Linked DNA regions of Anolis sagrei. The protein of the gene in region 1 purifies or fractionates together with the protein of each later gene. This does not show direct contact. Links are inferred from orthologs where the notes say so. Each region holds a gene or a part of one and is shown in the gene's direction. Other genes may lie near its edges.

What was found.
Region 2: the proteins of PPP1CA (region 1) and GSK3B purify together in Homo sapiens (affinity purification with mass spectrometry; 4 studies listed by BioGRID and IntAct, with this or other methods). This does not show direct contact. The link is inferred for Anolis sagrei from reciprocal best matches to the Homo sapiens genes PPP1CA and GSK3B.
Region 3: the proteins of PPP1CA (region 1) and CDC5L purify together in Homo sapiens (affinity purification with mass spectrometry; 3 studies listed by BioGRID and IntAct, with this or other methods). This does not show direct contact. The link is inferred for Anolis sagrei from reciprocal best matches to the Homo sapiens genes PPP1CA and CDC5L.
Region 4: the proteins of PPP1CA (region 1) and URI1 purify together in Homo sapiens (affinity purification with mass spectrometry; 7 studies listed by BioGRID and IntAct, counting the BioPlex papers as one, with this or other methods). This does not show direct contact. The link is inferred for Anolis sagrei from reciprocal best matches to the Homo sapiens genes PPP1CA and URI1.

What each region holds. Positions count from the first base shown.
Region 1 is NC_090021.1:232,682,542-232,689,653, forward strand, and holds the start of PPP1CA (serine/threonine-protein phosphatase PP1-alpha catalytic subunit), read left to right. Parts: upstream 1-4,112; 5' UTR 4,113-4,336; coding exon 4,337-4,391; intron 4,392-7,112. UniProt on the Homo sapiens protein: Protein phosphatase that associates with over 200 regulatory proteins to form highly specific holoenzymes which dephosphorylate hundreds of biological targets.
Region 2 is NC_090022.1:165,868,121-165,875,398, forward strand, and holds the start of GSK3B (glycogen synthase kinase-3 beta), read left to right. Parts: upstream 1-4,255; 5' UTR 4,256-5,371; coding exon 5,372-5,459; intron 5,460-7,278. UniProt on the Homo sapiens protein: Constitutively active protein kinase that acts as a negative regulator in the hormonal control of glucose homeostasis, Wnt signaling and regulation of transcription factors and microtubules, by phosphorylating and inactivating glycogen synthase (GYS1 or GYS2), EIF2B, CTNNB1/beta-catenin, APC, AXIN1, DPYSL2/CRMP2, JUN, NFATC1/NFATC, MAPT/TAU and MACF1.
Region 3 is NC_090021.1:147,843,179-147,850,199, forward strand, and holds the start of CDC5L (cell division cycle 5-like protein), read left to right. Parts: upstream 1-4,010; 5' UTR 4,011-4,110; coding exon 4,111-4,155; intron 4,156-7,021.
Region 4 is NC_090028.1:40,036,996-40,044,693, forward strand, and holds the start of URI1 (unconventional prefoldin RPB5 interactor 1), read left to right. Parts: upstream 1-4,680; 5' UTR 4,681-5,037; coding exon 5,038-5,088; intron 5,089-7,698. UniProt on the Homo sapiens protein: Involved in gene transcription regulation. Acts as a transcriptional repressor in concert with the corepressor UXT to regulate androgen receptor (AR) transcription.

The sequences.
Region 1 (7,112 bases):
AAAGGGAACTGTAGTTTGAGAAGGTCTTTAACCTTCTCTGCCAAATAATGCTGGTCCCTCACCAAACAACGAATGCCAGGAATCCGTAGCATTGAGCCATGGCTATTAAAGTGGCATCAAATTGCATTCATTCTGCAGTGTATATGCACCCTTCGTTAAATAAGTCCTGAGTTTGCAGGACTTGTGCAGAGCTAATAATGACAAAGTGTCTTGAAGGGTTCTGATTTGTAGAATTGCCAGTCAAATCCAACTTAACATTTAAAAAACAAAGATGTAAAGTTAACACAGTCCTAAAGCAATTCCTGGAGCTTAATATATGAAGTCTATGGGTTGTGTCACTTCTTTTTAGCACCCCTCTTTCCTAACGTTATCATTATAAAAACCGTTATAAAGCTGGCATCTCTATTAGAAACGTGGCTTTGGTTAAGCACAAGGTCAGGTCTACCATATATCCTGCAATTGTTTTGGGTCCCAATCTTATTATCACTGACCACCAACTTGCTGGCTGGAGTTTATGGATGTTATAGTCTAAATTGTTTGGATGAAATCTCATTAGGGACAGTCATTGAAGAACTCTAATGGAAGAACTAACTCTTTCTTAAGTCATTGTCAGTTCCAAAAACAGAAGATGGATGCAACTATACCAGGCATGGACAAACTTTGGCCCTCCAGGTGTTTTGGAGTTCAACTTCTATAATTCCTAATGGCTGGTAGGCTGTTACGAATTGTAGGAGTTGAAATCCAAAACACCTGGAGGGGTGAAGTTTGCCCATGTCTGAACTATACAATCAACCTGTAGCAGGGAGAATATTCACTAGCTTTTTCGTCTCAAGTGCTATGTCTTGTGCACATCATAGCCACACACTCCTCCCATCCCAATAGTCTTTGCAATAGAAGCCCATGGAAACTGAGAGTGGTGGTGGTGGGGGGGGGGGAGCAATAGAGGCCCCCAGAGCTTGGACCACAACTTTCCAAATCTGGGAAATGTAGTCCAAAATATTAATTTCCCCAAGTTTCTCTCTTACCCATTTTGGAGGCTGCTGCCCCCAATAAAGCCAAAGCGATCTGTCTGGCGATAAGGAGGCATCCCATTCAGCTCAGAGTCAGAGCCCAGGGAGCTGGCATCGTCCCGCAGGGAGAAATCAAAAGCATCTGGTAGTCCAGCCAAAGCTTGGTTTACATTGTCCTCAGGAAGCTCTGCTGAAAGAGAGGGGTCCGACATATTCCCCTTCAAATCTTACTTGTAGACCCTACTGCTGACAGGTCCTTTATTTCATGCCACCTGCTGAGGCCTGGGCATCACCTCTGAGCCGAGCAATACCTTGCACCCATGACTATGCCCCTTGTTGCTGCTGCTGTGACTGAGTTCCCCACACGCTCTGCAAGCCATTTCCTCCCGCAACCATTTCCTGATGCAAGGGACGGTAGTAGTAAAGAAAGCAAAGGGGGTGGGGAGCATGACACAGTGGAAGAGAGCAGAAAACAACTCCCCAAAAAGAAAACACAGGATAACTACCCACAATGCTTTCCAGAAGGGGTTGCACACAAGGAGACCCCACCAGATGTTGTCTCTGAGTTCACAGGTGCTGGGGAAGAATCAACAGGTAGATGGTGTCATCTCTTCCCATCTCTTCCCATCGGCACAAGCTGCACTCTGTATCATCCTTCTGGAGCACGACCTTGGTGTAGGTATTATTTACTCATTAGATTTCTATCTAGCCCTCTGCCCTTCTTCCTTCCTTCTGTTTTGGACTATATTTTGGACTATATTTTCTTGGTAAATAGAACAAATACAACAACAAAACTGCAATCAACGACAGAAAAAGGAGACTTCATGAAACAATCAAAAACCCCATCTGAATCAGCCAGATATCCCTTTGCAAACAGATATCTTAGCACCTTTGAGACTGAAAGACAATGGAAGCATAACCTTAAAAAGCTACATCTACTACATATATTTGGGCTATGAAAGCTGATAATAACATCTTTTTCTCTCAGTCTCAAGATGCTACTATAAACCCCAGCAACTACAACGCCCAAATGACAAAATCAAATTTTTTTGGGTGAAGGACCTACATTGGGTTGTTAGGTGTCTTGTGTCCAAATGTGGTGTCAATTCGTGCAGTGGTTTTTGAGTTCTGTTAATCCCACAAACAAACATTACATTTTTATTTATATAGATTCATAACAGTAGCAAAATTAGTTATGAAGTAGCAATGAAAATAATGTTATGGTTGAGGGTCAACACAACATCAGGAAGTGTATTATGTACGCTTTGATCTTCGGGCAAGGCCAGGCCCGTATCCAGGATTTCGATTCGGGGGGGGGGGGGGAGCTGAGTTTGTTTCGGGGGGCGGGGCTGAATCTGAGTGAAAGAGGGTCTACCCTAGCAAACCTTTTGTATCGTTACCCCAATACCCCCATGTATATGGGATATATTGAGCATGATGATCAGATAATGATATGAATAAACATAACAGTTTAAATAATGCACCTTTTTGCGAACCACCATGAGAATTTCGGGGGGGGGGGGGGCTGAAGCCCCTCAAGCCCCCCCCCCCCCCCGGCTTCATGCTTGGGCAAGGCCCCCTTTTGCCCTTGCCAGTCTCTCAGACTCGCCTTGTGGGTACAAGGGAGAGAGCCTTCTCCTCTGTGGCTCTGGAATTCACTGCCCGGAGAGATTAGGAAAGCCCCTACCTTGGAAACTTTAAAAAAAGTCTTAAGATCTGGCTCTGCCGTTGCGCTTTTGAAGAGTAGCCATATAATTTTATGCTAGCGCTCCTCCAATGTTCTTATCTCAGGAGTCCCCCCCCCCCCCCCCTACGAATGTTGGCTTAATTTCCTATCTCTCTCTGAGTTCACCCTTACAATTAGTTCTGCCCCCTTATCTCACCCGGAGTTTTTAAATCATTTTATGTACATGCGACCCGCCCTTTGTTTGTCTGTCATTATGCTTAGTTCCTATGTTTTGTGTATATTGTTTTATATGCTTTGATGTTTTATATTTTACTGTTATGTTGTTTATTTGATTGCAATTTGTATTGTTATATTGTAATTTTTGTTCGGGCTGGGTCCCATGTAAGCCTCTCCGAGTCCCCTTTGGGGAGATGGTGGCGGGGTATAAATGTTTATTATTATTATCATGAGGAGACAGCAAAGCCTAGAGAAGACAATGATGCTGGGGAAAGTGGAAGGCAAAAGAAAGAGGGGCCGACCAAGGGCAAGATGGATGGATGGCATCCTTGAAGTGACTGGACTGACCTTGAAGGAGCTGGGGGTGGTGACGGCCGACAGGGAGCTCTGGCGTGGGCTGGTCCATGAGGTCACGAAGAGTCGGAGACGACTGAACGAATGAACAACAATTATTATTATTATTATTATTATTATTATTATTCGCAATAAAAATAATGTTATGGTTGAGGGTCACCACAACATCAGGAAGTGTATTGAGGGGCCAGGGCATTAGGAAGGTTGAGAACAACTTATCTACTCTGTAGAATGAACGCAGTTTGGCACCACTTTAACCGCCATGCCGCCATGCTATGGAATGGTGGGAGTTTGGTGAGGCAGAGACAGCAGAAGACCTTGCAAAACCACAACTCCTATGACTCCTATGATGGGTTTGCCTTAGGGTCCCCATCAGCTGACTCAAAGGCGCCCTGCAACAACCACATGGTTTCTGAATGACACACAGAGTGAATCATCTCTATCCAGGTTGAAAACACATTCCAAAATGGGGCTGGCAACCTTCTGGCCCAGGGCCAGGTGTGGTGCTCAGCCTGGTCCTATATTTCTTTACACCGTGTAGATCAGGCGCAGGTAAATTTTGGCCCTCCAGGTGTTTTGGACTTCAACTCCCAGCCTTCCTCACAGCCTCAGGCCCTTCCCCCCCCCCCCCCCCAGCCGCTTAAGGAAAGGGCCTGAGGCTGTGAGGAAGGCTGGGAGTTGAATTCCAAAACACCTGGAGGGCCCAGGTTTGCCTGTGTCTCTGTTTCCTTGTGTTGGGAGGAAGCGGAGAGAGAGAATGCTGGCGCAATCGCAGGAAAGCCTTGCTCCCTCCAGCCAGTAGGAGGAGGTGGTTGGCAGAGTAGGAGCAGCAGGAGCAAGAGCAGCAGCGTCACTCCTTTCCACTTCCTCCCTCCTTCTCTTCCTTCTCTTCCTTCTTCCCTCGCTTCGGCTGCGGAGGCTCTTCGGCGAGAAGGAGGCGCGGACGGAAAGCTTTGCCCTTGCCTTTTCCCCGGCCGCTCCCTCTTTCCCAGGAAACAGCAGCAAGGAAGGAAAGAAAGAAGGCAGGAAGGAAGGCTCAGTCTCAGCCCCGAGACGCTCCTCTCCCGCCATGTCGGACGGCGAGAAGCTCAACCTGGACTCCATCATCGGGCGCCTCTTGGAAGGTGAGCACTGAGCAGCCGCCTTGTCCCTCCCCCAAAGCCCCGTCTCCACTGGATATTTAATGCGGATCCAAGCTCGCTTTCCAACTGCGGCGGCCTGGGAACAAGCTCCCACCCGCGAGAGAAAGGAAGCCCTTCCTGCGCGCGCACACACACACACACCAGTCCCTTTGGGTCTGTCTGTCTGTCTGTCTCTCTCTCTCTCTCTCTCTCTCTTGTAGGAAGCCCATACTTTGGTGCGCGGTCTCTTCTTTCCATTGGGTTGTGCCTTCCTTCCTTCCTTCTTTCCTGTCTTCTTCCCCATGGCGGGCAGTCAAACTGGTTCCAGGATTTTCCTCCTATGGAGTCGTGTCTCTACACTTTCTTCCATACCGGTTTGAAACGCCACTCAAGACCTCATCACACTAGAGAATGAATCCACATTGAACCCGGTTTCTGCTTCCTGCAGAATTCTGGGGTTTGTAGTTTAGGGAGGAGCTTTTAACAGCCTCACTAAACTACAAACTCTAGAATTCTGCAGGAGCCAGAAACCGGATTTTAAGTGGATTCATTCTCAAGTGTGATAAGTGTATTTGGGGCCTCGGATTGGGGGAGTTTTCCAGGCCAAAGGGAAACGAAAAGGGCGCCTCATCCTCTTCCAAAAGAAGGAGAAAGGGAGACAGACGTTCCCCTTTGTTGCGGTGTGTCTATACTGCAGGGTTAATGCAGTTTGACCCCCCTTTAACCGCTCAAGGCTCAGTGGTTTGGAATCCTGGGAGTCCTCGCTTGGAAAAGGCCATATTTATCAGCTTCATCCGCCCCCTGAATGGGCCCCAAAAGGTGGAGGGGGGGGCACACATTCCCCTTGTTGTGGTGCCTCTACACTGCAGGGTTAACGCAGTTTGACCTCGCTTTAACCGCTCAGGGCTCAGTGGTTTGGAATCCTAGGAGTTCTCGCTTGAAAAGGCCATATTTATCAGCTTCATCCGCCCCCTGAATGGGCCCCCAAAGGTGGAGAGGCGGGGGCAGACATTCCCCTTGTTGTGGTGCCTCTACACTGCAGGGTTAACGCAATTTGATCCCGCTTTAGCCGACCAGGGCTCAGTGGTTTGGAATCTTGGGAGTCCTCGCTTGAAAAGGCCATATTTATCAGCTTCATCCGCCCCCTGAATGTGCCCCAAAAGGGGGAGAGGCGGAGGCAGACATTCTCCTTGTTGTTGTGCCTCTGCACTGCAGGGTTAACGCAGTTTGACCCCGCTTTAACCGCCCATGGCGCAATGGTTTGGAATTCTGGGAGTCGTCGCTTGCAAAAGGCCTTTCTCAGCTTCCTCTGCCAAGGAGTGCCTCGCGGCACGACCAGTCCTAGGATTCCAGAGCCACTGCAGTTAAAAGTGGGATCAAACTGGATTCATTCTACAATGTAGATCGATGCATCCATTTTGGGGGGAGGGCGAGGAGAGTTTTGAGTATGGGTGAAGCTTCCTTTAAGACTCCCACCTTTAGGCACAGAAAGCAGAGGCGGTTTGGGGGGATTTGGGCGTGGAGGCGGCCCTCTTCATCGCTTAGGGAAACATCATGGCTCTGGGGAAGAAGGGGCTGCTGCGTATTACGCATCTATGGGAATGGGTGCATCTACACAGAGGAGTGCATGCGGTGTGGCCCCAGCTTAACCAATGCTTTGGAGTGTTAAGGAGTCGCAGTTTGGCGAGGCGGCAGTCGCCCTCTTTGGCAGAGAAGCCCAAAGGCCTGGTGAGATCCCCAGGGTCCCCAAGCCTTAAGGCGAGCCGGAAGTGGGCGGGTACACTCCCTCTGTCCTCCAGCCAGGGGCCCCTTTAAGGGGGCTGCCCCTAGCCAAAGCGCCCCCCCCCCCGGACAAGTTTGCACTCCAGGAGGGCTTCACAGGAAGAATGGAAGAGAGGAGGGCGACTAAAGTGATCAAGGGTCTGGAGAACAAACCCTATGAAGAGCGGCTTAAAGAGCTGGGCATGTTTAGCTTGCAGAAGAGAAGCCTGATAGGAGATATGATGAGAGCCATGGATAAATTTGTGAGGCGAAGTCATAGGGAGGAGGGAGCAAGCTTGTTTTCTGCTTCCTTGGAGACTAGGACGCGGAACAATGGCTTCAAACTACAGGAAAGGAGATTCCACCTGAACATTAGGAAGAACTTCCTGACTGTGAGAGCCGTTCAGCAGTGGAACTCTCTGCCGCAGAGTGTGGTGAAGGCTCCATTTTCGGAGGCTTTTAAACAGAGGGTGGATGGCCATCTGTCGGGGGTGTTTTGAATGCAATTTTCCTGCTTCTTGGCAGGGGGTTGGACTGGGTGGCCCATGAGGTTTCTTCCAACTCTATGATTCTATGAAAAGAAAGTAAGATAGCCTTCTGTGCCATAGAGTAGCTGCCTATAATATTCAGGTGTTCTTTAAACTTAACTAAAATTGCCATTAATAATAGGAAGTTGCTTCAAAAAATATAGTTAACATGGTAACTAGTTAACATCTAAAGTTAATTAATTAATTAATTGATTGACTTAATTTATTTTATGGTGCTTTCTGAGCCATCCAGTTCATGCTTCTTCTGCCTGCAGGAAAAAAAAACACAATCAAAACACTCCTGACAGATGGCCATCCACCCAATGCTGAAAAACCCCTAGAGAAGGAAACTCCGCCACACCCTCAGGTTGCAGCATATTCCACTATTACCGCCAGGAAGCTCTTCCTGATGTTTATTTAGGTGGAATACCTTTTC
Region 2 (7,278 bases), on another chromosome or scaffold:
AATAAACTCATAAAACAAGCAATAAACATTAAAACAATAGCAATAAACATTAGACATTAACACCATGACACATTTAAAAACTAAGGCCGGGCCAAATGTAATGATTAAAATTTTAAAATTCTGAACATGACAGGTGAGATGGATTGGTTTTTGGAGATAGGTGCGGTGTGCAGACAATCTTAAATCTCTAGTAAAGTGCATTTGGGACATGATGCTATTCTGGGAAGGCACACTGGAACAACCACATCTTCAAGCTCTTCCTAAAGACTGCCAATGTTGGGGCTTGTCTGATATCCTTAGGGAGAGAGTTCCAGAGTCGGGGGGCCACCACGGGGAAGGCCCTGTCCCTCGTCCCCACCAATTGCGCTTGCGACGCAGGTGGGATTGTGAGCAGGGCCTCACCAGATGATCGGAGAGATCGTGTGGGTTCATAAACGGAGATGTGGTCACGCAGGTAGGCGGGTCCCAAACCATTTAGGGCTTTGTAGGTAAGCACCTGCACCTTGAATTGGGTCCGGAAAATGAACGGCAGCCAGCCAATGGAGCTCCTTAAACAGGAGGGTTGACCTCTCTCTGTAAGGAGCACCAGTTAACAACCTGGCCGCAGCCCGTTGGACCAGTTGAAATTTCCGGGCGGTTTTCAAGGGCAGCCCCACGTAGAGCGCATTACAGTAATCCAATCTGGAGGGACTCTTGATTTTTTTCCCATCTCATAGACTTAGCATGGGGATTTGGTTAACCAGTTAACATTCATGAGTAAACCAGGTTTTTTTTAACCTGAAATTTCAAGCAAAAAGTGGATGCTAGAAACAATATCATACGAAAGCTGACTGGCACAACCTGGGGATCACAACCAGATACAGTGAAGACATGTGCCCTTGCGCTGTGCTACTCTGCTGCTGAGTACGCATGCCCAGTGTGGAACACATCTCACCACACTAAAACAGTGGATGTGGCTCTTAATGAGACATGTCGCATTATCACGGGGTGTCTGCGCCCTACACCACTGGAGAAATTACATAGCTTAGCCAGTATTGCACCACCTGACATCTGCCGGGAAGTAGCAGCCAATAGTGAAAGGACCAAGGCAGAGACATCTCCAGCTTATCCCTTGTTTGGGTATCAGCCAGCACGCCAACGACTTAAATCTAGACATAGTTTTCTAAGATCTACAGAGACACTCGCTGGAACACCTCAGCAAGCGCGAGTCCAAAAGTGGCAGGCCCAAACCCAGCACCTCAATCCATGGGTGATACCCAATGAGAGACTCCCTCCTGGGCACACAGAAGACTGGGCGACTTGGAAGGCGCTGAACAGACTGCGCTCTGGCACCACGAGATGCAGCGCCAACCTTCAGAAATGGGGCTACAAAGTGGAATCCTCGGCATGCGAGTGTGGAGAAGAGCAAACCACAGACCACCTGCTGCAATGCAACCTGAGCCCTGCTACATGCACAATGGAGGACCTTCTTGCAGCAACACTGGAAGCACTCCAAGTGGCCAGATACTGGTCAAAGGACATTTAACCAACTACCAAACTCACAAGATGTGTATTTTTCTGTCTGTTTGCTTTGTTCTGTTGTTGTTGTTCATTCGTTCAGTCGTCTCCGACTCTTCGTGACCTCATGGACCAGCCCACGCCAGAGCTCCCTGTCGGCCGTCACCACCCCCAGCTCCTTCAAGGTCAGTCCAGTCACTTCAAGGATGCCGTCCATCCATCTTGCCCTTGGTCGGCCCCTCTTCCTTTTGCCTTCCACTTTCCCTAGCATAATTGTCTTCTCCAGGCTTTGCTGTCTCCTCATGATGTGGCCAAAGTACTTCAACTTTGTCTCTAGTACCCTTCCTTCCAGTGAGCAGCCGGGCTTTATTTCCTGGAGGATGGACTGGTTGGATCTTCTCGCAGTCCAAGGCACTCTCAGCACTTTCCTCCAACACCACAGCTCAAAAGCATTGATCTTCCTTTGCTCAGCCTTCCCTAAGGTCCAGCTCTCACATCTGTAGGTGACTACAGGGAATACCATGGCTTTGACCAGGCGGATCTTTGTTGCCAGTCTGATGTCTCTACTCTTCACTATTTTATCGAGACTGGACATTGCTCTCCTCCCAAGAAGTTCTGTTCTGTTAGAAATGTAATATATAATGGACTGTAATGCTACCCCTCTATTCTGCTTTGGTTAGACCACATCTGGAATATTGTGTCCAATTCTGGGCACCACAATTCAAGAGAGATATTGACAAGCTGGAATGTGTCCAGAGGAGGGCGACTAAAATGATCAAGGGTCTAGAGAACAAGCCCTATGAGGAGCGGCTTAGGGAACTGGGCATGTTTAGCCTGAAGAAGAGAAGGCTGAGAGGAGATATGATAACCATGTATAAATATGTGAGAGGAAGCCACAGGGAGGAGGGAGCAAGCTTGTTTTCTGCTTCCTTGGAGACTAGGACGCGGAACAATGGCTTCAAACTACAAGAGAGGAGATTCCATCTGAACATGAGGAAGAACTTCCTGACTGTGAGAGGGCTTGACAAATGCAAGGCTGGGGTAAAAATTTCTGGAAGAAACATTAACAACTTTAGATATGCAGATGATACCACTTTGATGGCCGAAAGCGAGGAGGAGCTGGGGAGCCTTCTAATCAAGGTGAAAGAAGAAAGCGCAAAAACTGGGTTGCAGTTAAACATAAAAAAACAAAGATTATGGCAACAAGAATGATTGACAACTGGGAAATTGACGGGGGAAATGTAGAGGCAGTGACAGACTTTGTAGTTCTAGGAGCAAAGATTACTGCAGATGCAGACTGTAGCCAGAAAATCAGGAGACGCTTACTTCTTGGGAGGAGAGCAATGTCCAATCTCGATATGATAGTGAAAAGTAGAGACATCACACTGGCAACCAAGATCCGCATAGTTAAAGCAATGGTATTCCCCATAGTAACCTATGGATGTGAGAGCTGGACCACAGGGAAGGCTGAGCGAAGGAAGATAGATGCTTTTGAACTCTGGTGCTGGAGGAAAGTTCTGAGAGTGCCTTGGACAGTGAGAAGATCCAACCAGTCCATACTTCAGGAAATAAAGCCCAACCCAAACTACAAGAGAGGAGATTCCATCTGAACATTAGGAAGAACTTCCTGACTGTGAGAGCCGTTCAGCAGTGGAACTCTCTGCCCCGGAGTGTGGTGGAGGCTCCTTCTTTGGAAGCTTTTAAGCAGAGGCTGGATGGCCATCTTTCAGGGGTGATTTGAATGCAATATTCCTGCTTCTTGGCAGGGGGTTGGACTGGATGGCCCATGAGGTCTCTTCCAACTCTTTGATTCTATGACTGGTTGCTCTGACACGACAAATAAATACCTGAAATTTGGGGGGGGGGGGGGGGTTGAATCCCTAACACCTCCCCCCCCCCTCCCCCAGTTACAGGCCTGACTGTTAAGAACCAGCATATGACATCTGCGTCCTCAGAGCCAACTGCATTCAGGGCTACCAGGCCTAGCCAAGCAGAGGCCTGCCTTGTCCCTCATGGGCGGGGCGGGGCTGGGCGGGGCCGGGCTTTGCCAGGAGCCAAGGCCTCAGCCAGTCCCCATTTCAGTTCAACCAGGGTAACTCAAAGGGCCGGCCCCTTTGCCACTGGGTTCAGGCCACTTGACCCAATGGGCCCTGAGATAACAATAAACCAGGGGCAGCCCATCCTCACGGGCCGGGCTCCCACTGCTTCCCCTCCGCAGGAAGGCGGGCGGGCGCGCGAGGCGCCCCTCCCTGCCTCCCTCAGAGGCGAGGCGCGCGACCCGCGGGGGGGGGGGGAGGGGCAGCCTGGAGGCACCTGCGCCTCTGAGGAGGGCTCCCCTCACGCCGCGGAGCATTGGCAACGAGGAGCCAATCAGAAGTGGCGCTTCTCTTCACCACCCCCCTCCCTCCCTGCCTCCGCCCGGAACCATGCCCGCATCAAGCTGACTCCTTCTTTTCCCTTCTCCGCTGAGCCTGGCTGGCGACATGGGGCGGAGGAGGGCGGCTCTTCCTGGGTCCAAGCCCCGCCTCCTTTGCCTCAGCTCTTCTTCGGCCCTGTCCTTCCATCGTGGGAAACGTCGGGTCGCCCCATTGTTCCTTCCTAGAGACAATTTAGGGACAGAGCCTTCCTATTGGATGCCGGAAGGGAAGGGGTGGACGGTTCGGGTTTTTTTCCCCTCCTATGATTGGCTGCAAACGCCGTGCCGGGGGGGGGGGGGGAAGGGGGGCGGGCCCTGCGCAGAAGAAACCTTTCTGATTGGGCCGCCGATCGCACTCGGGTTCGGCCAGGCTCGGGTGTTCGGCTTGGCGTTCACGGAGGGCGCTTAGCGAGATTGCGTAAGCCTTGGCTTGAAAGAGAGAGAGAGCGCGAGCGAGGGCCGCAGCGCTCCCTGAAGGCCTGGCGGAAGGCTGCTCTATCCTCGCGCCACCTTGCGCCTCCTTTTCGCGAGGGAGCGCGCGCAAGACCGCAACGGCCCCTCTGCTTCCACCACCACCACCACGCCGCAGCGGACAAAGGAACTCGGGCGGAGAGGCGGGGCCGCGCGCGGGCAGGCGGGAGGGAGAGAGGGAGGAGCCCCTGACGCCGCCCACAGAAGCAGCAGCAGGAGAGAGAGAGAGAGAGAGAGGGAGTGAGGGGAAGAGGAGGAGGGGAAGAGAGGGAGGGAAAGAGGAGGAGGAGGAGGAGACTCGCGCCCCGCCGCCATGGCCGGCCCCGCCGCTCTCGTTGTCCTCCAGCCGCACTGCAGCGCCCTCCGCCTCAGCCGCCCCTCCTCGCCCGCCGCGGGGACGCCATGAGCCGCCGCCGCAGCAGCAACAGCAGCAGCACCGCCAGCACCAGGAAGAAAGGGAGCCAGGCCTGAGGAGGGAGGAGCCGCCCGCTGCCAGGCCGCCGCCCCGCGCCCTTTCGCCTCCCCAGCCGCTTCCTGCTCTCTCTCTCTCTCTCCTTCCTTCCTTCCCTTCCTCCCACCACAGCTCCCCCCCGCCCTTTAATTGAGGCGCTAGTGCTCTTCCGCCGGGAGAAATAGTCCCTGCCTCCACGCTGAGGGAAGGAAGAAGGGCCCACTCTCTCTCATTTTCTCTCTCTCTTCCTCCTGTGACTGGCTGCCGGGGAAGGAAGGCCTTCTCGACGCCGCTTCCGCTCTTTCCAAGGAGGAGGATGGCGGGCCCCCGGTGAGGCCTGAGAGAGAGAACGAGGCGTGCCCCTTTCCTCCCTTCCATCCCTTCCTTCCTCTTCGAGAGCGGGGGAAGGGCGGGCCCCGGCTCTGCATGCCCTGCCCGCCTTCCTCGCTCGCCACCTGAGGGCCCGGCAAGGAGCGCAGCAGCAGGAAGAGGAGGAGGAAGGGCAGGAGGCCGGGAGCGGAGGGAAGGCAGCCACCATGTCGGGCCGGCCCAGGACCACCTCCTTCGCCGAGAGCTGCAAGCCCGTGCAGCAGCCCTCCGCCTTCGGCAGCATGAAAGTCAGCCGTGAGTACACACAGGCCTCGGAAGGGGGAGGCCTTCCTTCCTTCCTTCCTTCCTTGCCTCTCCCTCGCCCCCCTCCCCTCTTTGATTCACAATCAGCCCCTTGAGGACGTGGCCGTCAGATGCCGGCCTGCCTGCCTTTGGCTCTCTCTCTTTCTCTGGCCTGCCATTTCCCCGCCCGTTCACGGCCCCATTTCAGAAGCAGTGAGTCAGGGAAATCCTTCAGTGCTTCTCAACCTTGGGTCCCCAGATGTTTTTGCCCTCCAACTCCCAGAAATCCCAGCCAGTTGTTAGGATTTCAAGGAATTGTAGGCCAAAAACATCTGGGGACCCCAGGTTGATAACCTCTAATGCAGTGGTTCTCAACCTTGGGTCCCCAGATTTGTTTGGTCTCCAACTCCCAGAAATCCCAGCCAGTCTACCAGCTGTTAGGATTTCTGGGAGCTGAAGGCCAAAAACATCTGGGGACCCCAAGTTGAGAACCACTAATGCGTGGTTCTCAACCTGGGGTCCCCAAATGTGTTTGGCCTACAATTCCCAGTAATCCCAGCCAGTTTACCAGCTGTTAGGATTTCTGGGAATTGTAGGCCAAAAACATCTGGGGACCCCAGGTTGATAACCACTAATGCAGTGGTTCTCAACCTTGGGTCCCCAGATGTGTTTGGCCTACAATTCCCAGTAACCCCAGCCAGTTTACCAGCTGTTAGGATTTCTGGGAATTGTAGGCCAAAAACATCTGGGGACCCCAGGTTGAGAACCACTGCACTAATGGATGGTGGCCTCAGCTTGACGGAATCAGTCGCCTTTCTGAGGCGCGGCCTGTGGGCTCATTTCATTCCAGAGAGAGAGAGAGGTACCTGCCTGCTTACCGAGATGTGGAAAATTACTGACTTAGTTATGCATGCTGTTGAGGAGGTTTTAATGGGCTATCCCATTATGCATACATTGGGAGATGGGCGGTACAGAGAAAGTCATTTATTATAATTTATAATAATAATAATAATACTTTTCCTAACTCCAACAGACCTCACTACCTCTGAGGATGCTTGCCATAGATGCAGGCGAAACGTCAGGAGAAAATGCCTCTAGAACATGGCCATATAGCCCGAAAAACCCACAAGAACCTAATAATAATAATAATGTATCTGTGTTGTTTCTATTGGCCTAAGGCGGTCCCTATAGGAAAAGGCGGTCCCCTATAGGAAAAATAATCTGTACCCAAAGTGTGGTCGATTGTACAAATCTTTACATTTTGGTTAAAAACCTTCTGTGAAACTGACCTCACTATCTCTGAGGATGCTTGCCATAGATGCAGGCGAAACGTCAGGAGAGAATGCCTCTAGAACATGGCCATATAGCCCGAAAAAACCTACAACAACCCTGTCACAGAGATATTTGCTTAAAATCCCCTCCAATGGAGTCACAGCTCGATATAGGTTTCTTTTAAGGATTGTTGCTGCCAGTTGGAAACGTGGCAGCATTTCAACCCATTTATTTCTCAGATATGTTCAGCCTGAATTAAAGATTGGATCGGACTGGATGGCAAGAAGCCTGCAGAATGTGTCATCCTCCAAGCTAAGCATTACCTGTCAGCCAGGTGTCAGTCTCCTCCCCATTTCTTTGAAGTACCAAGTGTCTCTGCCACAAATTCAGTATTATTTATTTATTTCGAGCATTTCTACCCCATCCTTCTCAACCCCCGAAGGGGGACTCAGAACGGCTTACATTTGGCACAATTTGGCATTTTGACATTTGGCACATTTGGCATCCATATCCAAAGCACTATTTATGCCTACTGTCCAAAAGCCTGGTCCCAAAACCA
Region 3 (7,021 bases), about 85 Mb from region 1:
CCTATTTCTGCAGTATGCCTATGTTTACAAAAAATGCTGATTGAGAAATCAGTGCTCCAGAGAAGAAGTTACTATTCAAGGATAACAGTACATCCGTTCCAACTAGCTGGTGGCTAGTTAGAACTCCCAAGTTTCCCAGTAGCTCTGGAGTCATGTTGGCAACCGACTAACAGATAAATTGATTCATTAAGACAGTCATGGTCAGAGAACAATGGACTATAGTTCTTCTATAGTTGTGGCATTGTTAGGATCCCACGTGTGCTATTATGTCAATCAAAATCATAAACCACCAATGAGGAACCATCGAGCTATCTTAGACCAATGAAATTATTTGTCTTTGGGAACCAATGAGAATGTACGTGCCAAAAATGATAAAAACCCTGCAGTCCCAATGGAATTGCGACAAACCCTTTGATTGCATTCCTGTATGCTTCTTTGTCGATATTGCTAGGCCCGCAATAAAGCTTTTGTAGTAAGAATCCAACTTATGGCTACATTGGGCCAATGAGTGGACTCATAAGCTTGTGCATTTGGAGTGTCCCTGCATCTATGTCCCTTCACTTCCACACAGCTCTTTATCCCAGAATATTAAAGCAGAAAACTCCACAATATCTGCTTTGAAATTGGGATATCTGAGTTCACACTTGGATAAAGTGGGATTTTCTGCCTTGATGTTCTGGGATATAGAGCCCTTAGGGAAGTTTTCAAAGGATGACTTCATCTATATAAATAAAAATGTAATGTCCGTTTGTGGGATTAACATAACTCAAAAACCACTGGGGGAATTGGCACCAAATTTGGACACAAGACACCTAACAACCCAATGTATGTCCTTCACTCAAAAAATTGATTTTATCATTTGGGAGTTGTAGTTGCTGGGAATTATAGTTCACCTACAATCAAAGAGCATGCTGAACTCCACCAATGATGGAATTGAACCGAACATAGTACATAGGACTCCCATGATCAACACAAAACACTAGAAGGGTTTGGTGGGCATTGACCTTGAGTTTGGGAGTTGTAGTTCACCAATATCCAGAGCGCACTGTGGACTGAAACAATGATGGATCTGGACCAAACTTGGCATGAATATTCCATATGCCCAAATATGAACACAGATGGAATTTGGGGGAAATTAACATTGCCATTTGGGAGTTGTCGCTACTGGGATTTATAGTTCACTTACAATCAAAGAGCATTCTGAACTCCACCAATGATGGAATTTAACCCAACGTGGCACACAGGACTCCCATGACCAACAGAAAACCCTAGAAGGGTTTGGTGGGCACTGACCTTGACTTTGCGAGATGTTGTTCACCAACATCCAGAGAGAACGGTGGACTCAAGCAATGATGGGTCTGGACCAAACTTGGCATGAATATTCCATATGCCCAAATATGAACGCAGATGGAGTTTGGGGAAAATAAACCTTGCCATTTGGGAGTTGTAGCTGCTGGGATTTATAGTTCACCTACAATCAAAGAGCATTCTCAACCCCACCAATGACAGAATTAGGGCAAACTTCCTACACAGAACCCCCATGACCAACAGAAAATACTTAAGGCCATCCAGTCCAACTCCCTTCACCAGGGCAAGAAAACGTAATCAAAGTGCCACCCAGCCATAGATATTGATAGATAGATATGATTCACACACACACACACACACAGATATAGTATCATAGATTTAAAAGGAACCCCTAAAGAAGGACAATGATATGTTGCATATTCCAGAGTAGGCAAACCAGACAATCTCCACATCAACACTGACAAAGAAACAGCAAGAAATACTGTTTACCCACAAGCATAAAGAAATTAGATATTAGAAACCAACACTTTCTCATTACTTTATTTTCCAGATCACCAGACTAGGCCACAGCAATGCGGGGCAGGGGACGGCTTGTGTTTAATATTTCCAAACTCTTAATATTACTTCAGGTCTCCAAAGGGCATGAGGAGCATCACATTTGGGAGTGAGTTGCTTTGTGTGGGATGTGGCAGTGTGGCATCTTAACCCTACACCACTGGAGAAATTACACTGTTTACCACCTGACATCCTGACATCCGCCAGGAAGTAGCAAACAATAGTGAAAGGACCAAGGCAGTGACATCTCCAGCTCATCCCGTTTGCATATCAGCCAGCACGTCAATGACTTAAATCAAGAAACAGTTTTCTAAGATCTACAGACACACTTGCTGGAACACCTCAGCAAGCGGGAGTCCAAAAGTGGCAGGCTCAAACCCAGAACCTCAATCAGTGGCTGATACCAAATGAGAGACTCCCCCCCTGGGCGACTTGGAAGGCACTGAACAGACTGCGCTCTGGCACCACGGGATGCAGAGCCAACCTCAAGAAATGGGGCTACAAAGTGGAATCCACGACATGCGAGTGTGGAGAGGAGCAAACCACAGACCACCTGCTGCAATGCATCCTGAGCCCTGCTACATGCACCATGGAGGACCTTCTTGCAGCAACACCAGAGGAACTCCAAGTGGCCAGATACTGGTCAAAGGACATTTAATCAACTATCAAGTTTGCAAACTTTGTGTTTTGTTTGTTTGTCTGTTTGTTAAAAAATGCAATCCAGCTGTTTGGTCTGCTCCTAACACGATTTATTTATTTGTCGTGTCAGGGTAACCAGTCAATTGTATTACATTTCTAACAGAACAAAACAAACAAACAAACAGACAAAATACAAAATTTGCGAGTTTGATAGTTGATTAAATGTCCTTTGACCAGTATCTGGCCACTTGGAGTGCCTCTGGTGTTGCTGCAAAAAGCTCCTCCATTGTGCTTGTAGCAGGGCTCAGGTTGCATTGCAGCAGGTGGTCAGTGATTTGCTCTTCTCCACACTCGCATGTCGAGGATTCCATTTTGTGGCCCCATTTCTTGAGGTTGGCTCTGCATCTCGTGGTGCCAGAGCGCAGTCTGTTCAGCGCCTTCCAAGTCACCCAGTCCTCTGTGTGCCCAGGGGGGGGGGGAGTCTCTCATTTGGTAACATCCATTGGTTGAGGTTCTGGGTTTGAGCCTGCCACTTTCGAGCTCTCGCTTGCTGAGGTGTTCCAGCGAGTGTCTCTGTAGATCTTAGAAAACTATGTCTAGATTTAAGTTGTGATAATGCCGCGATAATGCGGCATGTCGGCATGTCTCATTAAGAGCCACATCCACTGTTTTAATGTGGTGAGATGTGTTCCACACTGGGCATGCATACTCAGCAGCAGAGTAGCATAGCACAAGGGCAGATGTCTTCACTGTATCTGGTTGTGATCCCCAGGTTGTGCCAGTCAGCGTTCGTATGATATTGTTTCTAGCGCCCACTTTTTGCTTGATATCCAGGCAGTGCTTCTTGTAGGTAAGAGCACGGTCCAGAGTGACTCCCAGGTATTTGGGTGTGCTGCAATGCTCCAGTGGGATTCCTTCCCAGGTGATCTTCAGAGCTCGGGATGCTTCTCTGTTCTTGAGATGAAAGGCACATGTCTGTGTTTTGGATGGGTTAGGGATCAGCTGGTTTTCCCTGTAATAGGCGGTAAGGGCACCTAGAGCTTCAGAGAGCTTCTGTTCAACCATCTCAAAGCTCCCTGCTTGAGCAGTAATGGCACGATCATCAGCATAGATGAAACTCTGTCCCTTCTGGCGGTGGCTGGTCATAACATGATACACAGTGGCTGGTCCTAACACGATAAATAAATAAAAATTCTTAACCATAAGGTGCCCTTCCACACTGCCCTATATCCCTGAATATCAAGGCATAAAATCCCACAGTATCTGCTTTGAACTGGATTAGCTGAGTCTACACTGCCACTGTTCAAAGCAGAAAATGTGGGATTGTATTGAGCTGTGTGGAAGGGGAAACACGAGAAGGACAGTCCGGATTAAAGACAATCTTTCTTCTGTGACGAGCAAAAGCACTTTGAAAGGGGACAAGGAGGGAGATCCAAGTGCGCATGCGCAGGGGAAACGGCGCCCCCTCCCTTCCCCGCGCGGCAACGTTCTCTTCCGTCGGCTTCCGGTGACGGAGGGGACTGCGCGCGCAGCCTGAGGCCTGACTTCTTGCCTCGCAGCCGTTTGCCCGTCGCCTCAGCTGCGTTCTCGCCCTCTCTCGCCGCCAAGATGCCGCGGATTATGATCAAAGGGGGCGTGTGGCGCAACACCGAGGTAGGGAAAGCAGTCTCGAACCCGCCACGGCGTTCTCCTCCCGGGGGAGGGTTCTCTCACACGGCTGCGCCCAAAACAGGCTCTTTGCCGCGCTAGGCCAAGACCCTTCAGAGGCACCTCATAAGCCTCAGTCTTCACCCTCCTCAAAAGAAACCCAGTTGAGGCTGCAAGGGGGGGGGAGTACAGAAAAGGGGGTCCCTCCTCAGCATTAGGAAGAACTTCTTGACTGTAATATCTGTTCAGCAGTGGAACTCTCTGCGTCTGAGTGTCTTGGAAGCATAGAAACAGGCTGGATGGCCATCTGCCGGGGCTGCTTTGATTGTGCTTCTCCTGCATGGCAGAATGAGGGTGGATTAGAAGGCCCCTGGGGTCTCTTCCAATTTACGATTCTGTCATTTGCAGCTTTATTTCCTGCTAGTTTGGGTACTCAGCAATGCCCGTGTTATTATTTTATTATTATTATTATTTATTGTTTTTATACCCCGCTGCCATCTCCCGCAGGACTCGGTGTGGCTTACAAGAGGCCAAGCCCAACAACATCATAAAAAACAACAACAGCAAACGATAAATAACTCAAAAAAGCAAAACAATACAATAATGACACAACACATTTTAAAACATAAGGCAGGGCCAAATGTGAAAGTTTTAATAGTTAAAAGCTGGGAAGTTTAAAGGGGATAGGAGGAATGTTTTTGGAAAGGTGGACGTGCAGGCAGTTCTGGATCTCTCATAAAGTGCATTGAGGACATATTGCTAGGATTCCTTATTCTGGGAAGGCACACTGGAACATCCACGTTTTCAAGCTCCTTCTAAAGACTGCCAATGTTGGGGCCTGCCTGATGTCCCTGGGGAGGGAGTTCCAGAGTCGTGGGGCCACCACCGAGAAGGCCCCGTCCCTCTTCCCCACCAATCGCTCCTGTGAAACAGGTGGGATCATGAGCAGGGCCTCACCAGATGAATGAAGAGATCGTGTGAATTCTTATACAGAAATGCAGTCAGGAAAAAGGCTTTTTTTTTTTTTTGATTGTGAGGTAATATCAGTTTGGTCATTTGCAACGCTATTTATTGGGAGAAAAGACCGTCTTTCCTTTTTTTAGAAAATGCATCAAGATATGGGTGAACTACAGTTCCAAAAATCATAGCATTATTTTTTTAAAAATTAAGTTATTACGTTTGCCCCAGCCATAAGTTTTTAAATGCTTGTGTGTTGTTGTTTATTTTTTGTTTATGAGATTTATATTAACTGTTTTTGTATTGATTGTTTTGTTATTGCCTTTGTTTATTGATGTAATGGCTTGGCCTCATGTAAGCCGCACTGAGTCCCTTGGGGAGATGGTAGCAAGGTATAAATAAATTTTTATTATTATTTATTATTATAGGTCAATCACCCCCAACCCTCGCCAGTGTTCAGAATTGACCACGGTGGGTCTGCATGCCAAGTTTGGTCCAGATCCATCATCCATCTGGATATGGTTTTCACTGGATGTGGGTGAACTATAATTCTCGGATTCCAAGGTCATTAAGCCACAAACCTTGCCAGTATTCAAAGTTGGCTGTTTTGGGTCTGTGTGCCAAGTTTGTTCCAGATCCATCATCAGTGCAATTCAGAGTGCTTTCAGGATGCAAGGTGAACTACAACTCCCACCTGGATGGGTCAGTCCCCCCAAATCCCTCCAGTATGTTCTGTTGGTCACCAGAGTTCTGTGTGTCAAGTTTGGTCCAGATCTGTCATTGGTGGGATTGCAGTGGTCTCTGGAAGTGGGAGCCAATTGGAAGTTTGCCACAAACATACAGACCCACCCACATACATATACATACACTTTTATTATATAAATAGATTTGGGGAAATAGAGACCGCATTGAATCTTGAGTGTTATCTGCAAATTTGGTCACCTTATTCTCACTTTTAACTTTAGAGCATCTCTAAATAATAATAACAACACTTTATTTGTACCCCGCTACCATCTCCCCAAGGGACTTGGTGCGGCTTACATGAGGCCGAGCCCAAATACAACAATACAAGCAATAATAACAATACAAGCAATTAAAATAAAACAAAACATGGACAATAAAATAATGCAACATTAACAATAATCTCTAAACATAACAGACCTTTGAGAAATCCACAGGTCCCATTTTCTACAGGAATTGTTTAATGATATGATCTGTAAAACACCTGCAAATGTTTGGTTTGAGGTTTAGATGTGTTTGAAGCACGTTGACTTTAAGATCATCTGGGGAGGCCCTGCTCTTGATCCTGCCTTTATCACAGACGTGTTTGGCGGAGACAAGAGACATGACCTTCTCAGTGGTAGCCCCTCGGCTATGGAACGTCCTCCCCAGAGATATAAGATCAGCTCCCTTCTAATATTCTGCAAAATGGTTAAGACCTGGCTGTTCGAGCAGGCTTTTACTACTGGAGCATGATTAGATGAAAATGTATCATGGAATGTCTGATGATGCAATTGGATCACGATTTCAGTAAGGAGATGTTGAGGACTTATTTTTATAAATATTATGGTTTTTATATTTTTAATGTTGAACTGTTTTATAACTTTTTAAATAATTGTTTTTAACTGTATATCCTGTTATTATGGTATCGAGTTGCTGCCGATTGTGAACCGTCTTGACTTGCCCTTGGCTGAGAAAGACGGTATAAAAACCCAGTAAATTAATTAAATAAATAAATAAAATTGTGTTACTCTTAATTAATTAGTACTTAATTTATTATTTATTTATTTTCAGTATTTGTATACCGCTTTTCTCATTCCGAGGGGGACTCAAAGCGGTTTAGACATAAATAATGGCAAAAATTCAATGCCAATACAAACAATTACAATTATACACTACAATTAGACATACATCA
Region 4 (7,698 bases), on another chromosome or scaffold:
GGAGAAAAGAAGGAGTTCAGGTTGCTGTGATGGCTGGCTGAAGTCCCTCAGCAGAGGAGCTGTAAGGCTGTATGATCCTCGGCCAAGCTGTGGGGCTGTATAACCCCGGCCAAGCTGTAGGCTGTATATCTCCCCGGCCAAGCCGTAGAAGACTAAGCTTTCTACAGGAGCTCTTGGTTTTATGTCCTGTGTGAAAGGCTTCTCTGTGTGGACTGACTAAAATGGTTCCTCTCTCTTCCCAAAAATCCAGAAAAAGGGGCGGAACCAAAGCTAAATGAAGATGGACAGGGGGCTTGCCCTATGACTGCAAACTATAACAGGAAGCCACCCTGCTGCAAAATCCCAAGCCTGGGATTGCAAACAAACATTTAATTCAAAGCAAATAAAATTGGAGCTCCTGGAACAGCTGTTCCAGAACACCCATTGTAATGTTGTTTTTAACTAGTGTAATCTATATAAATAAAAATACAGTTAGTTTGTAGGATTAACATAACTCAAAAACCACTGGATGAATGAGTGAGGCCAATGAGTGAGCATTGCTCATAAAAACACTGAAAAACACAGCAGAAGGGACTTAAAGAGCCAAAAAAGCAAAAAGATGCTACAGTGCATGTGCAAAAACAACTCCCTTGGCAAACAAAACACACAATAGTATATCCACACTCTCTTCCATACTACAGCTCCCAGTATCACCTAGACCAGGCCCTTTAGGAGAGGAGGATGATCCAAATGCACTGCTTCCTAGATGTAAGCTTGCTTCTTGGATTTCTTTGAGAGCATCCCAATCCTTGCATATTTCCAATTTCCTATTCCTGGACTGCAACTCCCAGCAATCCTCCAGATAGATAGGAAAGGTTCTCAACCTTCCTAATGCCATGACCCTTTAATATAGTTCCTCATGTTGTGGTGACCCCCAGCCATAAAATTATTTTTGTTGCTACTTCATAAATGTGATTTTGCTACTGTTATGAATCGTAATGTAAATATCACATATGCAGGATGTATTTTATTCACTAGACCAAATTTGGCACAAATACCCAATATGCCCAAATTTGAATGCTGGTGGGGTTGGGGAGGGATTGGTTTTGTTATTTGAGAGTTGTAGTTGCTGGAATTTATAGTTCATCTACAATCAAAGAGCATTCTGAATTCTACCAACAATGGCATTGAACCAAACTTGGCACACAGAACTCCCATGACCAACAGAAAATACTGGAAGGGTTTGGTGGACGTTGACCTTGTGTTTTGGAGTTGTAGTTCACCTACACCCAGAGAGCACTGGAGACTCAAACAATGATGGATCTGGACCAAACTTGGCACAAATACTCAATATGCCCAAATGTGAACCCTGGTGGAGTTTGTGGAAAATAGATCTTGACATTTGGGAGTTGTCATTGCTGGGATTTATAGTTCACCTACAATCAAAGAGCGTTCTGAACCCCACCAACGACAGAATTGGGCCAAACTTCCCACAGAGAACTCCCATGACCAACAGAAAATACTGTGTTTTCCTGGTGGTCTTTGGCGACCCCTCTGACGCCCCCTCGCGACCCACCCAAGGGTCCTGACCCCCAGGTTGAGAAACGCTGGATTAGATAGAGATAAGTAGGTAGGTAGGTAAGTAGGTAGGTAGGTAGATGGATCAGGAGGACTGCTGGGAGTTGCAGTCCAGGAATAGGTAGAAAAGGAAGAAAGGGGAGAAAGGGGAAGGAAAAGAAAAGGGAGGGAAAGGAAGGGAAGAGAAGGAAGAAAGGAGAGAAGGAAAGAATAAAAGGGAAGGAGGGAAGGTTGTATTCAGTATTATTACATTCTGTGTTTTTCTTTACATTTGTATTTTTTGTGTCTCAGTTTTGGGAGAAAGAAATGACATAAATCAAGCCCAATCAAATAAAAAATAAATAAATCAGAACATGTGATTGTTAGCCCACAAAAAGCCATTTTTGTTTTACAAAATCTGTTAAATAAACGTAGAAATAATGAGAGAGCCTGCAGGTTAATGGGAGTAAACAAGGCTGGGAAATCTGATACAAGACGTACCTCCGTTCCACTCCCACGACTCATAATCCATTATGAAAAAGATGCCAAACTTGATAGAAGGATGAATGTGTAGATGAATATAACATGTCTGATTTCACTGGGGTTATTCCCGTTCCTCAACTGAAGGACCGCAAGCACTTGAGGAAAATCAACATTAAATTCCGACTAGATTTGAGGTTTTGGGAAGCCATAGGAAATGTTGATTTCAAAGTGCACTTTCTAGTTGCTTTCACCTAAAGTTATATAATGACGACTGATCTTGTATATATTTTAGAAAGAAGTTTACAGGACACAAGGCTCCTGGCATAATAACTCTCAATGCTTTGCTATTACAATTCAGGCTGCAAATTTGGGGTGTTATGAAAGAGGCATTTGTACTTCCAGAGACGGGGAGATCCTGGGATTTTCCGCCTCCCCTTTGAAACCACCTCAATTTTAGTTCTCTGCACCATGAATTAGAGCAGTATTTCTCAACCTGGAGGTCACAAGGGGGTTTCAGAGGGGTAGCCAAAGGCCATCAGAAAACATATACTTCTGATGGTCTTAGGAACCCCTTTGGCAGAGGAGGCTGAAGATCTCTCCACTTGCCCTTCTCTTCCTTTTTGGAAACAGACCGTGAATCCTCCCATCAGCTGGCCTCTCAGCCAAGGGGAGGGCTGTTTCTGAAACTCTGAGCAGGGAGAAGAGAGCAGGTGTGCTCGGCACATAGCACCATAGTAAACATGTGTAGGCGAGGGAGAGCACGTGAGGCTGGAAGGCAGGCTCGCACCAGCAAGTCCCTTCAAGACATGGGGGTTCTGTGTGGGAAATTTGGCCCAATTCTATCGTTGGCCATCTGTCGGGGATGCTTTGAATGCGATTTTCCTGATTCTTGGCTGAATGGGGTTGGACTGGATGGCCCACGAAATGTCTTCCAACTCTAGGATTCTATGAGTTGAAGTCCAAAACATCTGGAGAGAAGAGCCAAATTTGCCCACCCCTGCTTTAAAGGAAGGCCTGCTTTAATATTTCATTTCAATGGGTAACTTCCTGACTGTGATAGCTGTTCAGCAGTGGAACTCTGCCCCGGAGTGTGGTGGAGGCTCCTTCTTTGGAGGCTTTGAAACAGAGGCTGGATGGCCATCTGTCGGGGGTGGTTTGAATGCAATTTCCCTCCTTCTTGGCAGAATGGGGTTGGACTGGATGGCTCACGAGGTCCCTTCCAACTCTAGGATTCTAACTTCTGGACTGTGAGAGCTGTTCAGCTGTGGAACTCTCCGTCCTGGAGTGTGGTGGCGGCTCCTTCTTTGGAGGCTTTTAAACAGAGGCTGGACGGCCATCTGTCGGGGGTGCTTTGAATGCGATTTTCCTGCTTCTTGGCCAAATGGGGTTGGACTGGATGGCCCACGAGGTCTTTTCCAACTGGAGCAATGGCTTCCAACTACAAGAAAGGAGATTCCATCTGAACATGAGGAAGAACTTCCTGACTGTTAGAGCTGTTCAGCAGTGGAACTCTCTGCCCCGGAGTGTGGTGGAAGCTCCTTCTTTGGAGGCTTTTAAGCAGAGGCTGGATGGCCATCTGTCAGGGGTGCTTTGAATGAGAGTTTCCTGCTTCTTGGCAGAATGGGGTTGGACTGGATGGCTCACGAGGTCTTTTACAACTGGAGCAATGGCTTCAAACTACAAGAAAGGAGATTCCATCTGAACATGAGGAAGAACTTCCTGACTGTGAGAGCTGTTCAACAGTGGAACTCTCTGCCCCGGAGTGTGGTGGAGGCTCCTTTTTTGGAGGCTTTTAAACAGAGGCTAGATGGCCATCTGTCGGGTGTGGTTTGAATGCGATTTTCCTGCTTCTTGGCCAAATGAGGTTGGACTTGATCGCCCACGAAGTCTCTTCCAATTCTATGATTCTAACTGACTGTGAGAGCTGTTCAGCAGTGGAACTCTCTGCCTCAGTGTGGTGGAGGAGCCTTCTTTGGAGCTGTTAAGCAGAGGCTGAATGGCCATCTGTCAGGGGGGATTTGAATGCGATTTTCCTTCTTCTTGGCAGAATGGGGTTGAACTGGATGGCCCACCAGGTGTCTTCCAATTCTATGATTCTAACTGACTGCGAGAGCTGTTCAGAAGTGGAACTCTCTGCCTCAGAGTGTGGTGGAGGCTCCTTCTTTGGAGGCTGTTAAGCAGAGGCTGGATGGCCATCTGTCAGGGGGGATTTGAATGCGATTTCCTGCTTCTTGGCCAAATGGGGAGTGTGGTGGAGGCTCCTTCTTTGGAGGCTGTTAAGCAGAGGTTGGATGGCCATCTGTCAGGGGCGATTTGAATGTAATTTTCCTTCTTCTTGGCAGAATGGGGTTGGACTGGATGGCCTCTTCCCTGAGGTCTCTTCCAACTCTAGGGTTCTATGAGTTGAGTCCAAAACACCCGTTTGAAAGGAAGGCCTGCTGTAATATTTCCTTTCAACTGGTAGGAATTGTGGGAGTTGGAGGCCTTTTGAGGCCTGAGGAGGCGCCAAAATGGCGTCCTTGTGTTTTGGACTTCATCTCCCAGAAGCCCTAGTGCTGGAACGACGCGGCTGAGGCTCATGGGGGTTGTAGGCAGAATAAGGAGGAGGAGGAGGCGGGGAAGAAGGGGGCGTGCCTGTCTCCCCGCTCTTCCTCCCAGAAGGCAGCGCGGCGCCTGGCTGGGCCTAGGAGGAGAAGGACGAAGAGAAGCCTCGGCATTTCCTGAGCGCGGCGTCGGCGAGGCCTGGCTCGGGATGCGAGTGTGAGATGCGTCTTCCACCGGCGGCGGCTCTCGGCTGGGCCCCCTCGGCGCCCTCCATGAAGCTCCGGAGCCGGCGCTTGGCCCTCCACAAACACTTCTATAGGACTCAGGCGCCTTGCTGAAGAGGAGACAGAGACAGAAGAGGAGCCCCTTGGAGTGGAGAGAAGCCGAGGACAACTGCGGGAAAAAGGGCCCAAAGGAGCCCCAGAGACAGGCCTCCCTCCTCTTCAGAGGGAGAAGGAGGAGGAGGAGGAGGCCATGGAGGGCCCCGGGAATCAGTGGGGCCGCGTGAGGGAGCAGCACGGCCAGGTAAAGAGGAGAAGGAGCGGGAAAAAGGCAGCGAGGAGAGGCAGGACCTTGTCAGTGGTGGCCCCTCGCTTGTGGAACTCCCCTCCCTAGCGACATCACAGCAGCCCCCCTCCCTAATTAAGAGGAGGAGAAGGAGCAGGAAAAAGGCAGGGAGGAGAGGCAGGGCCTTCTCTGTGGTGGCCCCTTGGTTGTGGAACTCCCCTCCCTAGCGACGTCACAGCAGCCCCCTCCCTAATTAAGAGGACGAGGAGGAGATGGAGCGGGGAAAAGGCAGGGAGGAGAGGCAGGGCCTTCTTTGTGTTGGCTCCTCGGTTGTGTAACTCCCTCCCTAGCGACGTCACAGAAGGCCCCTCCCAAATTAAGAGGACGAGGAGGAGAAGGAGCGGGAAAAAGGAAGGGAGGAAAGGTAGGGCCTTCTCAGTGGTGGCCCCTCGGTTGTGGAACTCCCCTTCCTAGCAACGTCACAGCAGGCCCCCCTCCCTAATTAGCCTTCAGGAAAAAGGAGGAGGAGAAGGAGCGGGAAAAATGCAGGGAGAAGAGGCAGGGCCTTCTCTGTGGTGGCCCCTCAGTTGTGGAACTCCCCTTCCTAGCGACGTCACAGCAGCCCCCTCCCTAATTAAGAGGACGAGGAGAAGGAGGAGCGGGAAAAAGGCAGGGAGGAGAGGCAGGGCCTTCTCAGTGGTGGCCCCTCGGTTGTGGAACTCGAGGAGGAGAAAGAGCGGGGAAAAGGCAGGGAGGAGAGGCAGGGCCTTCTTTGTGTTGGCTCCTCGGTTGTGGAACTCCCTCCCTAGCGACGTCACAGCAGCCCCCTCCCTAATTAAGAGGACGAGGAGGAGAAGGAGCGGGGAAAAGGCAGGGAGGAGAGGCAGGGCCTTCTTTGTGTTGGCTCCTCGGTTGTGGAACTCCCTCCCTAGCGACGTCATAGCAGCCCCCTCCCTATTGAAGAGATCGAGGAGGAGAAGGAGCAGAAAAAAGGCAGGGAGGAGAGGCAGGGCCTTCTCAGTGGTGGCCCCTCGGTTGTGGAACTCCCTAGCGACGTCACAGCAGCCCCCCTCCCTAAATAAGAGGACGAGGAGGAGGACATGTTTCATTGCACTATCTATATAAATAAAAATGCAATGTTCATTTATGGGATTAACATAACTCAAAAACCACTGGACGAATTGACACCAAATTTGGACACAAAACACCTCTCAGGCCAACAAGTGACCATCACTCATAAAAACACTGAAAAACACAGGGGAATAGACTCAAAATGCTAAAAATTAAAGAAAATGCATACCAGCGCATGCACAAAACCACATTTATACACATATACACACACATATACACAGACTGGGCTACAGCAACGCCTGGCAGGGGATGGCTAGTGTATATATATGTGTGTGCGTGTGTGCATATGTAGATGTGTATCTATGTGTATATATTTGTGTGTTTATATGTGTATATGTATACTGTGTATATGTGTGTGCTTGTCTATATGCATAATTGTGTGTATTTATGCGTGTATGTATGTGCATACATGTGTATATGTATATATATATGTGTGTGTATGTATATGTATGTGTGTGTATATTTGTGTGTGCTTGGGTGTATATATATATATATATATATATATACACACACACAAATATACACGTGTGTGTATGTATGTGTGTATGCGTATAGGATTGTATGTATATATGGTGTATTTTGGGGGGTTTAAGTCCATTCTACTGGGAAGGGGGTGTTTTTAGGGGTGATGAACACTCGTTGGACTGTTAGGTATATTTTGTCAAAATTTTGTGTCAAGTCGTCCAGTGGTTTCTGAGTTATGTTAATCCCACAAACTAACATTACATTTTTATTTATATAGCTTAAAATAATAATAATAATAATAATAATAATAATAGTAAATTTTATTTATACCCCGCCACCATCTCCCCCAAAGGGGACTTGGGGCAGCTTCCATGAGGCCAAGCCCGATAATACATAACAGCAAAATGAATACAAAACAAAAATATCATCACAATAAAATAAGTAAAACATAAGAGTAAAATAAAACAGTGCAAAATAAGAAGATGAAAAATCAAACACAATAGGCGGGCCAAATGTAAGACATAAAATGATAAAACACTGGATGAGATAAGAGTGGAAAAAGGTATATATGTAAGGGAGGAGCTAATAATCATAATAGGAGCTAATAATAATAATAATATTACCAACAGCTGCATAAGACCACCATACTGGGATCTGCACACATTATTCGCCGATACATCACACAGTCCTAGACACTTGCGGAGTGTTCGACTTGTGATTCTATACAACAGCCAGCAGAGTGAGCTTGTTTGTTGTGGACTCATCTTGTTGTGCTTCTAATAATAATAATAATAATACATTATTTATACCCTGCCACCATCTCCCCGGAAGGGACCCGGGGCGGCTGACATGAGGCCAAGCCCAAAGATACAATACAGCAAAATAAAATACAAAACAACAAAAATTACATCAGAATAAAATACATACAGTAGCACAATAAAATAAATGAAGCCAAATAACATAATGGAAAATCAAACACAATGGGCGGGCCAAATGCACAAGATAAAATGATAAAATCCTGGATGAGGTAGG